Drosophila melanogaster: one gene and its partner. The protein of the gene in region 1 purifies or fractionates together with the protein of each later gene. This does not show direct contact. Each region holds a gene or a part of one and is shown on either strand. Other genes may lie near its edges. The genes, in order: jeb and Alk.

Region 1 (5,268 bases):
ATGACCTAAAGAACTTGGCTGCAAACCAACTATTTCCTGCTTTTAATTTTGACTAACTATTTTAGAATTTCGAAAGTTCACTCTAATTAGATTTCATTGAGGTTTTATTTCTTGCGCTGGGTGCATGTTCGATTGGATCGAATTAATGCCAGACAGTCGGCTAAAGGTCAGCGTTGAAGTCGGCTAGGTTCCAACGATTCCTCCCCCATAGTCCACCATTGAAACCCCAGCTCAAGCCTCTATATAATGGGAATTTATAGGTATAACTCACCGATTTGTGGCACATCGTATTGCCGTTGACCGCGGGCGGTGCGCAGCATCAGCTGGCTGGCTATGCTGTGTGAAATCGGTGGCTGCGCTGAGTAACCGCCTCCTGGCGATCCCATGGATCCCGCCGATCCGGAACCGGATCGCTTATGGCTGGGATCCTTTTTGTCCTGCTGCGACTGTTGCTCCACCTGCTGCTGTTTAGGTAGTCCATCGCCGGCGGCTTGTTTGCCGGAGGAAGAAGTGGCGGAGGAGACGGCCGAGGATGCACTGCTACCTAGCTCGCTATGTGGCTTCTCGTTATCCTTGGAGCCGGAGCGAGTGGATGGTTTCAGGTGCTTGCTGGCCGTGGCCTCCGAGTTGGCGGACAGCGATAGTTTGCCATTGCGCTGTGGCTTGAAGTGCTGGGCGAAGATCTGGCGCTGCAGCTGCTTTTCCGCCTCAGGATTATGGGCAATGCCCTGGCCATTTCGTTTCCTCGCCCACTTTTGCTGCACCCTTATGTTGTAGTTGCCCGGGTTGTGGATTTTGCCGGTGTGCATCGCCTTGAAGGGGGCATCTCGCTGCTCCTGTTCCTGCTCGAAGAGCTGCTGCAGGGAGTCGGGTGCACCCAGCTCCAATTGCTCCAGCGTGCGATAGGGATTCTCCGGAAGGGTTTCGTCCTCCAGGCCGTGATATTGATAGGCATCCAGTTCACGCAGCAACTCATCCTCGCCCAAGTGCGGCTCCTGCGGTTCCTGCTCCAGTTCCGAGAAGTCATCAAAGTCGCCGAACGAGTGCAGCGGTTCGTAGAGAGCCTCCACCTGCTCCTCCCTCTCCGCTGGCTGCACCACTCTTCCGTAGTATTTAACGGGTCTATTCTCCAGATCCCTCAGCTGCTCATAATCCTGTTCCAGGGTAACCGGCGTCGGTGGTTGCTTCTGCACATTACCGAAGATGTAGCCCCGTGCGGCCTGCTGCAACAGCGCCGGATAGTCGCCCACTTCCAGCTCCTCGCTGGGCTGCATCTGTATCCGGCCGGCAATGAAGGGATGACCGCGATGATTACTGCCCGCCGGCGGCTGTTCCGCCGTCTGCTTGGCGCGGGCCAGGAGCATTAGTCGCTCTCGCTCCAGCTGGGCCATATCCGCTATCTCCTTGTTCAGCCGCACGGTGGTGGCATCGAAGGCGGCCGCTGCGGCGGACCGATGGCCATGCGGCGAGGATCCACCGCCGGGCGGAGATCCTCCGGGATGCTGTTGGTGCTGCTGCTGCTGCGAGGGTGCGGTCTGCCAGGCGGCGGCTACTCCCGTCGAGGGTCCAACGGGATGACTGGGCACCTGCACTGCCTTGGCTTCGCCCAGCGACTTCTCGCCGTTCCCATTCCCGTTCCCGTTGCCATTTCCGTTTCCGCTCAGATGGAGGGCATAGAGGCCGCCCTGTATGAGCAGGACGCAGAAGAGCGTCTGGGCCAGCGAGCAGAACATTTTCCGTTTGTTGGTCTGGCGCAGCTTCTCGATTAGACGGCTTATCTTGGCGGTTTCGGGTTTACCAGGGGGTTTACCAAGGGGAAAATACAGTTAGTTTGCTAGTCCGGGGGGATGGTGTTTGGGGGTGGGGGCGGGAGTTATAGAGACTGGTGGCAGGTGGTTTTTCGGGGCTGGTGGCGGTGAATGGTGGTGAGGGAAAGTCCCGATATCAATGTTTCTCTCTGGACTTTCGATGCTTTGCACACACGGCTTTTGTGGGTCTTCAGGCCCCACACCGCTGACCAACACTGTGCCGGCCTAAGCCTGGCATTGCACTACACTGGCCTGCACCGAACGAAGTTTTTTCGAAAATTTCGAACTTTTCCAAATTTGTGTGTGTGTGTTTTTTTTTTCTTTTTCAAACTTTTTGGCTATCGCGTTTTTGTGGATGCCTTGCAACGACCGTTGTTTATGGTTTCGTTATTTTTCGATATTATCTGTATATTTTTTCGGGCACTTAACTTGGCGTTCTTCTTTTCACTGGCCAGTCCACTCGATTTCGATTTAGACCTTAGGCTTATTAGTTAGTTTTTGTTCGCGGCACTTTGGTTTCTTGGGTATATAATTTTCTTGTGTTGTTATTCAGCTTTCGTTTGTGGTGTGAAAACTTTCCCTTGTTCTGGGTGAGTGATGTTTTAGTGGACTAGCTTTGCTACTAGTGTGTATATTTTTTTTTTTTTTTGTTATATTCTTTTTTATCGCCTGGCTCCAAGAGTGTTCCGCACGTTTGAACCGACGAGCAAGGACTCGTCGTGTCGTCTCAGCAGGATTTGCCTGTTTGTCTGCCTTTTGCTTGGCCGCCTGACGCGTGTCCCTCTGCCACTGCCTCTGCCTCGGTCGGCGTCGCGGTCGCTGTCGCTGCCCGCGTCGACGTCGCTGCCGCTCCTCAAGGCGTTTCGGATTTCCACTTTATGTGGCAGTCGTTGTCGTAGTCGCACTCGTACACCCACTCCCTGCACGCCCCGCCTCGAATTTCACTCCTCGGACGAACCGCTGGCTGCTGGGCTGGCTACTCTCCGCTCTCTCTCTCTCTGGCTCCTTTCTCCTTTCTCCTTGCTCTTTCTCCGTGCTCCTGGCTCCTGGCTCCTGGCTCCCTGCTCCTTTCGCCGCTTTCTCTGCTTTCTCCTGCTGCTCCTGCTGCTACTGCTACTGCTGCTTCTGGGCTTCCTCAGCTCCAGCTTGTGTGCTCTCGGTCAGCGGGAAAAACTCGAGCTCGAAACGACTGTTCGCTCTATACTGAGCACTGCGGCCGCTCAACCACTTGTTTTCAACCAGCCTCATGTGTAGAGTTTTTCCCGAAGCCTAACGGGATGAGAGAAAGTGAGAGAGAGTGCCTGCTACTGCGCACTGTGCACCGTTACCGGCATCATTGACTCCCTGTTTTCCATTTCCCAGATGCCATATGATTTGCGGTCGCCAGTTTGCGTGGGTTGTTCAACATCCGCATCGGAGTCCTTCGTTCCGGCGGGGCATTTCCCCAGTTCGACTCGAATTTGGGTAATCCCATTTAGCTGTCATCAGCTGTGGCTCCACTAATCCCAACAACAGCCGAGGATTCAATCACTGAATGCACTTTTCACTGGGCTTACCCGGAATCGCGTTGTGTTTTCTTGCCGGAAAAAATCAATTGTGGGAAAATTAAGTGATACCACAAATCTGGTTTCTCCCGAGCTAAGGTTTGTGATTTCATTAATGGGCAACTAATGGGATTTTCACTGAAATCACTTACCTAATGCATGTCGACCAACATTTTTGTAACCCTTTTGTAACAGAAGATGTTTGTATATAAGTTTCAAACATTTAACAACCTTTTTAACAACCACATTTTTAAGAAATCTTTCATTTTAATGTTCGTCATAATTACCGTAAAATATATTCCTAATTATTGAACAAATTAATACTGCAATACTTAAAGACGGTTAGTAGAAACCAAATAAACTAAATGAAGTCACGATATATAAATGCAGTTATAATAACTATAATAGATTCTGATCATAACAGCCAGTGCAAAAGATTTGGCAACAACTTATGTGCCATAACTTATGATAACTTAGTACATTTCCCGTGATATTTACAAGCCCCTTTCTTATGGAATATGCCGATCGACCGCCCAACGAACTAGCGGTACATTTCCCCTACATTTCAAAAGTCGAAAACGATTGACAACCACACTGGCGAGATACGTACATACATACCTACATGTACATATATCTACTGGCAAAATACAACTCACGCAGCAGCAGCGCCGAGGATATATTGTGAATAAAAATGAGCACATAGATTGCAAGTCATTAAAGCTGGCGAACCGAATACGAATCGGGAAAGGGGAGGACGCAGAGCCGAAGGACCCTTCGATTCGGGTGTAAGCCAACATGAATGAAGGAGAATGTCCTGTGGCAGAGGCGTCATCGTTGCTTGCAGCCCGCTTTTCGCTTTTCGTTTTTCGATTTTTGCCATTGTTCTTGCTGTTGCACACAACAAACAGCTGAAGGCTGGGGGCGGGGGTGGGGAGGCGTGGCAGACCGAGGACGAAGACGAGTCCTTTTGTCGTCACAATGTCTGTGGCTTTTACGTTTTACGAGCGAGCTATAATATATTCGCCGTGCCAACGTAATGATATCCGAGCCGAGGTGAAATTGAATCGCGAGCTTAAGCTACGTGAATGGACTTGTTCCACGGTGTGGAGAGTTTTGAATGGACGAAAAGGTGAATAGTCGCCATGTATAATCGAAAAAGTTTCGGAGTCGAGCGTAAAAAGAAGGTGAGAATACAACTGGAGAATACAGTCATTCATAGCAATATTTTATCAATCAAGTCTGAACATAGAAAATTAAGTTAATACAGTAAATTAATTATTTATTAAGAAAGGGCTATAAGATAAACTTAATGTACGCTTGTAAACTCCTACATGACTATATTTAGTATTTCACCATAATGTTTGCTTTACTGCTGTAATATAACTAAATTCGATATTATTTCGATCTCCAAGCCATATCTCTCTGTTTGAAAGTCTACATGCAAAAAGCCGGCTTGGCCTCTCAATTTGTTGCACGACCCGAAAGTCTCCGGCTCGTTTGGAAAACTCTACAGGCGACGGCAAACAGCTGAGCCTGGCCAGGACCTTTCGCCGCCCCCAATACGCCTGGCCCGCAACATGGTCCTACCACAAGCCAAATGCACTTGCTGGGACCACAGGCGAGCGAAGGATTCCTGGTGGGGGGACAACAACAGATGATTCTGCCGCTGGAGTGCGCAGGCGCAAACTGAAGAGGCGACGACTACGTCAACAACAAAAATCGAAGCGGCGGATTTTCATTCAGGAGATAGCACCAACCCACCCACGAAAGTTGGGGAAACAAGAGCGCGAGCCCTCGAGCAGCGATATGGAAATGGTAACATGGGTATGGGGCTTGGGAGTGGGGAAATTTCAAGGAGTAGGGGCATTTGGGGAAAATCAGCGCCTGGCTGGCGTCGTTTTTCGACGGACGATGTC
Region 2 (5,183 bases), 4.5 Mb from region 1:
GGGCTTTTGGATACCAAAAAATTGTGCTGTGTATAATGTGTGCCAAAAAATGTAAGAAGGGAATACGAAAATGTTGTATATGCCACGCATAAATCAGAGAGAGTAAAAGAGAAGGTCGAGCGAGGGGGTAAAATTTGATTGGATTTCGTTTAACGTGTGGAAAATGATTGAAACTTTTGCAGCTGAGGGTTTTCCACTAACTTTTTTTCCCAGCCAAGTTGTGCGCCAAATGCGAAAAATACCAAGCTGTCCGATTTCCGGGTCGCTGGGGCGTCTCACTTTCACTTTTCTCCAAGGATTGCGCTGTGTGTGTATGTGTGTGTGTGTATGATGTGTGCTTGTGTGTTATTTGCGTGTATGTTGGTGACACAACCAAGGCAACAGAAGCAACACCGAGCACAATCACTCGTCCTTGCAGTCACACAAAAGTTGATGTCCAGAAAAGAGCAATTGGATTTGCCGCAGGCCGTAAATATTTCTTAATGCAAAAAACAAAGTGCTGTGCTGAAGCTGAGGGCCGTTAACAATAATTAGATTTTTCTCTACTCAGGCATTCGGCCAACACGCACACTCACACACACCCACACAGAAAGCAGAAGCGTTTTGCTGGACGAGAAATGAACCGTTTTGCACGAGGCACAGAAGCGTTCTGGCCAAAATATTCGTGTCTACCTCTGAGGAGGAGTCCTTTTTCGAGTCCGCAGCCTCTGCGCATGTCCCACGGCCATCGATCCGCCTCGACGGTGGTGGCCACCAGCTACCCAGACCACCGTAATCCTGGCCAGCGCAACGTGGCCCACAGCCACTTGTTTGCATCATCGCGTGTTTATCCCGCCGATGCGCAGGCGCCGCCAAACATAAACAATGTCCAAGCCTAATGGATGACAGTTACCCCATGACAGTTGACAGTTGGGCTATCGGACCACTTGACATGCGCTCCTTGGACCGCCGTTCGCCTCCTGTCGACCGCCCAGGGCTTCGTATTTCGGTGTGCGGTGGCAACCCTCGAGGCACTTGAAAAAAAGACCACAGACCGCACAGAAAATACAATGAATTACGGAATTCATACAATACAATATCTTAAAAATAAACATATTCCCTGGGCTTGTGTGTTTTATTTATTGAATTAAACGATGGTAACAATTTTGCACTAATTTTTCATAAGTTTATTTTTTGATCGCGTCAAGAACTACTTTCTTTCTGAGAAACGAATTATTTTACATGTTTCTAAGAAATTAAAAACTATGTAAAGCGAAAGTCATTATCCAGTACACAAATAAACTCCTTCAGCTTTAACTTGTGCCATTATCGCCTGATTTGTCCCACTGTGATCATCAGAGCTTCGTTTTTGCGAACTTCCGTTTTGCCTCAGATATTGCAGCTTCAGTCGCAGAATCATTAATTACTTTCGCAGCTACCCCAAGCGAAAAGAAACAGTCGCAGTGCTGGCTAAAAATATCTCCCCTTGCGGCACAGCGCACATAACATAAATCTTCCGGCTGATCGGACTAGCCACATCGAACGGCAGCAGCAGCAGTCGCAGCAACAGCAGGTAGGCCAGCCGGAGGTCAGGGGTCAGACTAAAGGCTGCACAATGTCCAGGCCGTGACGCCACATCCCCGCGGCGATTGGTGAAACGCACAAGTCAATTCCAATTGCATTACCACTTGACACGTCGCGACGAAAACAAATAAACAAACACACACGAACCCAAGGATGCGGCAGCCGTGAGAAAAAAATAAACACGAAGAACGCACCAGCAGATATATCTCGTTCAGCAGTCGCCAGATGAGATGGACTCAGTTCGGGTAGCCAGTTCTTCGGTCGACGCCTCCGCATCGGTCTTTAGCTTCTGGCCGATCTCAGCCGCCTGCTGTTATTCAGTATTCATCGAACAGTCGCATCTCTCAGTCGCCCAACGGATGTTGCAGCACCACAGGAACTACACAGATATTTACGCGATTCCATAGATTCTCGTTCTCGTAGTCGAGAAACTGAAAGCGAAATCAATGGTATCCGCAAGATACACGCTCGTGTGCGCGGCTTTAAGTGAATATAATTGAAGACCAAGTGATATAAATAGTTGGATAAACTCTTTCTTCAGCCGCGACACGTGCCGGGCACACTTTTCCCCTTTCGAAAAATTGAGTGAGTTTTACCCCTAAAATATCGAAAAACTATTTTTAAACATATATATGTATATATTATAGTGAAGTGCATCTGCTAGATGCAAATTGCGTATACTGAATATTTTATGTGCCAATTTACGCATCCCTAAACATTTTACGGGCCCGTTTGCTTTACCAAAATGAGGAAAACATCAAAAAATATCAATTATATTTTTATAAATGATAGAAGGAAGTCTACTCGACTGTGCTAGATGTTGTTTATATTTGATTTACTTGATTCTTTGGCACAATATAGACTTTTTACCGCCGTTTTCGGACTAAATTTAAAATTCAACACGCTCGTAGTCGTCAAAGTGGATGCTGAGTTTTCTTCTGATCATGCCCGCTTTTCTTCTCTCTTCTTTCGATTGCTTTTTGTTGTCTGCGATTTCCTACAGCTGCCGACGACACTTATAAATATATTTGCATATATTAGCGTGTTCTACAGATATAGTATCGCACGTACGTACATATATCTGCACATGTACTCTTATCTGCGCGATTCTATATTAATTTTCGCTTACTTGTCGCTCTATGTCTGTGTTGCCCATTTCCGTTTGTTGTCGTCATTAATTGATGTTGTTTATGCCAAATAAAAATATTATTTCTGCAAAAGAAAATAGGGTTTTGTATTATCGAATTTTCTTAGAAATGTGGGAAAGAGTTAGCTGGGGATAATTATGAACATTTATATGTTATAATGCATGCTAAAACATTGTGCAATTAGTACTTACTACTTAAATATTTATAACACTTCAGTTTAGAAAACACTAATCAGTGTTTATGCAACATTTATTATTTGATTCAGATTTATTTCAAACATCTATGATTGTGTACACTAGTATTGTGTACACAAGTTTTTAAACGACCCCAAAAACCCTTCGTGCACATTTCAATATTTAGCGAGTAACCATTTGACCTTTCATCATGTATCATTTATTATTTTATTTTTTTTGATTTCATTTACAAATTACCATTGAAAAGCAGAAAATTCAATTAGGTTTCCGCGAAGTGCAAGTCGGGCCTTTGCAAACCTGGCCAATGGCACCTGTTGGTGGCGAGGCAAATGCACCTTGCGTTAAGACCAGGCTTACTTAAATTACAAGTGTCCGGCTTATAAGCCAGCACGTCACAATCTCCGAGGGGCGAAAAAGGACCAAGATAAATGCATTTGTGTCGCATCCGTGACTCTGATTAGGTGATATTACATCGCCGGACGAAAGGACGCAGGAGGCGCAGAATGGGGTCCTTAATGCACTGCAAATTGAAAGAGGAAACGCAGCTACGACTGAAACTGACGCACAAGCAGGCCCATCGCACCCCGCCCCCCCCCCCCCCCCATCGGAATAGGGGGGTTTCGCCACTGCAGCGGCTGATGGAGCTAAATTCAATTTCCAGTAGTTTGCATTAATTTCCCGGCTTATGCCGACCGCCAGAGTGCGCCACTGTCGCTGCCTCCCTTTCCTCCCCCTTCCGTTTCCATCACATTTTTCTCACTTTCACATGCAATCTGAAACAGCAACAGCTTTCGCTGGCTGAAATGTGTGGAGAACGAGTGAGCTCTGTGGAAAATCCAGCGAGTCGGAGAAGAAATTTCCTCAATTTCCAAACGCATCTGTAACTGTGCGCTCGTGTATCCTGTGGCTCGATTTCAGGCGCAGGATATTCGTTTAGCCACCGACGCGAGATGCCGATGCCGATGCCGATGCCTAGGATGCTGGCCGGGCTTTAACGAATTTCCCCACATTTCAGTCTTCGTTTGCCGAGCGTCGTGCGCGCAAGTATCCCTCAGAATCGCGGATAGACGGCCTCAAAAAAAAACAACAAGATATACCCAAAAAAAAAAGAAGATAAATCTGAAGAAAACCAATATATGTAGTACCATCAACAACAGTGCTAGAAAAGTTAATACTACAAAAGAGAGCAAACACAACCAGCAGCAAATGAAAAAGAAAAGGAAACGTGAAAAGTGTAGCTGAAAACTTCATATTCTTCGAATAAAAACCATATTTTTCCCCGAAAGATACATAATTCAAGAGAAGCAGAGCTTACGAAAATTTCGGTTGAGCCACAAATCAGTGCGTAATGGTAAAAGTGATTACATATTCGAAACTGAAATGTGAAATCATTGCATTCAATTTGAAATAATGATGAGCAGTGAAAAATCGAATGAAAAATTTGTTGAGCTGCAGGAAAAATTTCGTTACTTCCAAGCTTGCGTGTGTGTGTGCGTGTATGTGGTGTGTTTTTTTGTGTAGTATCTTTTGTGCGCCTCGGCTGCTCTGTATCTGTAAGATACGCAAAACAATTTGTCTGCGCCATTAGTAGCGAAGAGTGTCCTATGTGTGTGTGTATCCTGCGCAGTCAACGATACCGAGGCTGCGTCTCGCATCCTGGCAAATCCTTGCCACCATCGCCATCTAAATTGGAGTCGGGCACAGAGGGCAGCGCAATATTTGCGACGTTGACGCAGCCCCCACTCGCTCCTTCTAATGTAGTTGTTGTTGTTGTTGTTGCTGGTCCTGCTCCTATGGCGGCAATGTGTGTGTATCTGCAAAATACGATATACAGACCAAGGATACTGTCCATGTGCTAGCGCTCTTTTGTTGCTTCAGTTCGAAATTTGGACTATATTATTGTGGCTTCCGTTTAATTTTCTTTTTATTATTTCTGGAAAACTTCGGTTAAGAACACAATAACATTTTTATTATGTCGAGTAATATCTGTATTAATTGACTAGTTTTCGGGTAATAACTCAATGTGCACAGACACTGAAATAACATAAATATGGATTGTTTCCAATGTTTCCTGCACAAATAGATTTGATTCTCAAAACTCTTATATAAACTTTACATAATAGTTATATTTCAAACTTAAAGAAATACCCTTTAAGTACTTTTTAAGTGCTATATCTATTTTAGATATGAGTTTGGACCGATTATAGTATCCTGGCAGTAGAAAGTTAGCTTCAAAATAAGATAAACCTTACTTGAATTGAAATCAACATTTCTAACG

What was found.
Region 2: the proteins of jeb (region 1) and Alk purify together in Drosophila melanogaster (affinity purification with western blotting; 2 studies listed by BioGRID). This does not show direct contact.

Annotation. Positions count from the first base shown.
Region 1 is NT_033778.4:12,116,328-12,121,595, forward strand, and holds the start of jeb (jelly belly), read right to left. Parts: upstream 3,014-5,268; 5' UTR 1,734-3,013; coding exon 272-1,733; intron 1-271.
Region 2 is NT_033778.4:16,636,711-16,641,893, reverse strand, and holds the start of Alk (anaplastic lymphoma kinase), read left to right. Parts: upstream 1-1,882; 5' UTR 1,883-2,148; intron 2,149-3,918; exon of another isoform or gene 3,919-4,246; intron 4,247-5,183.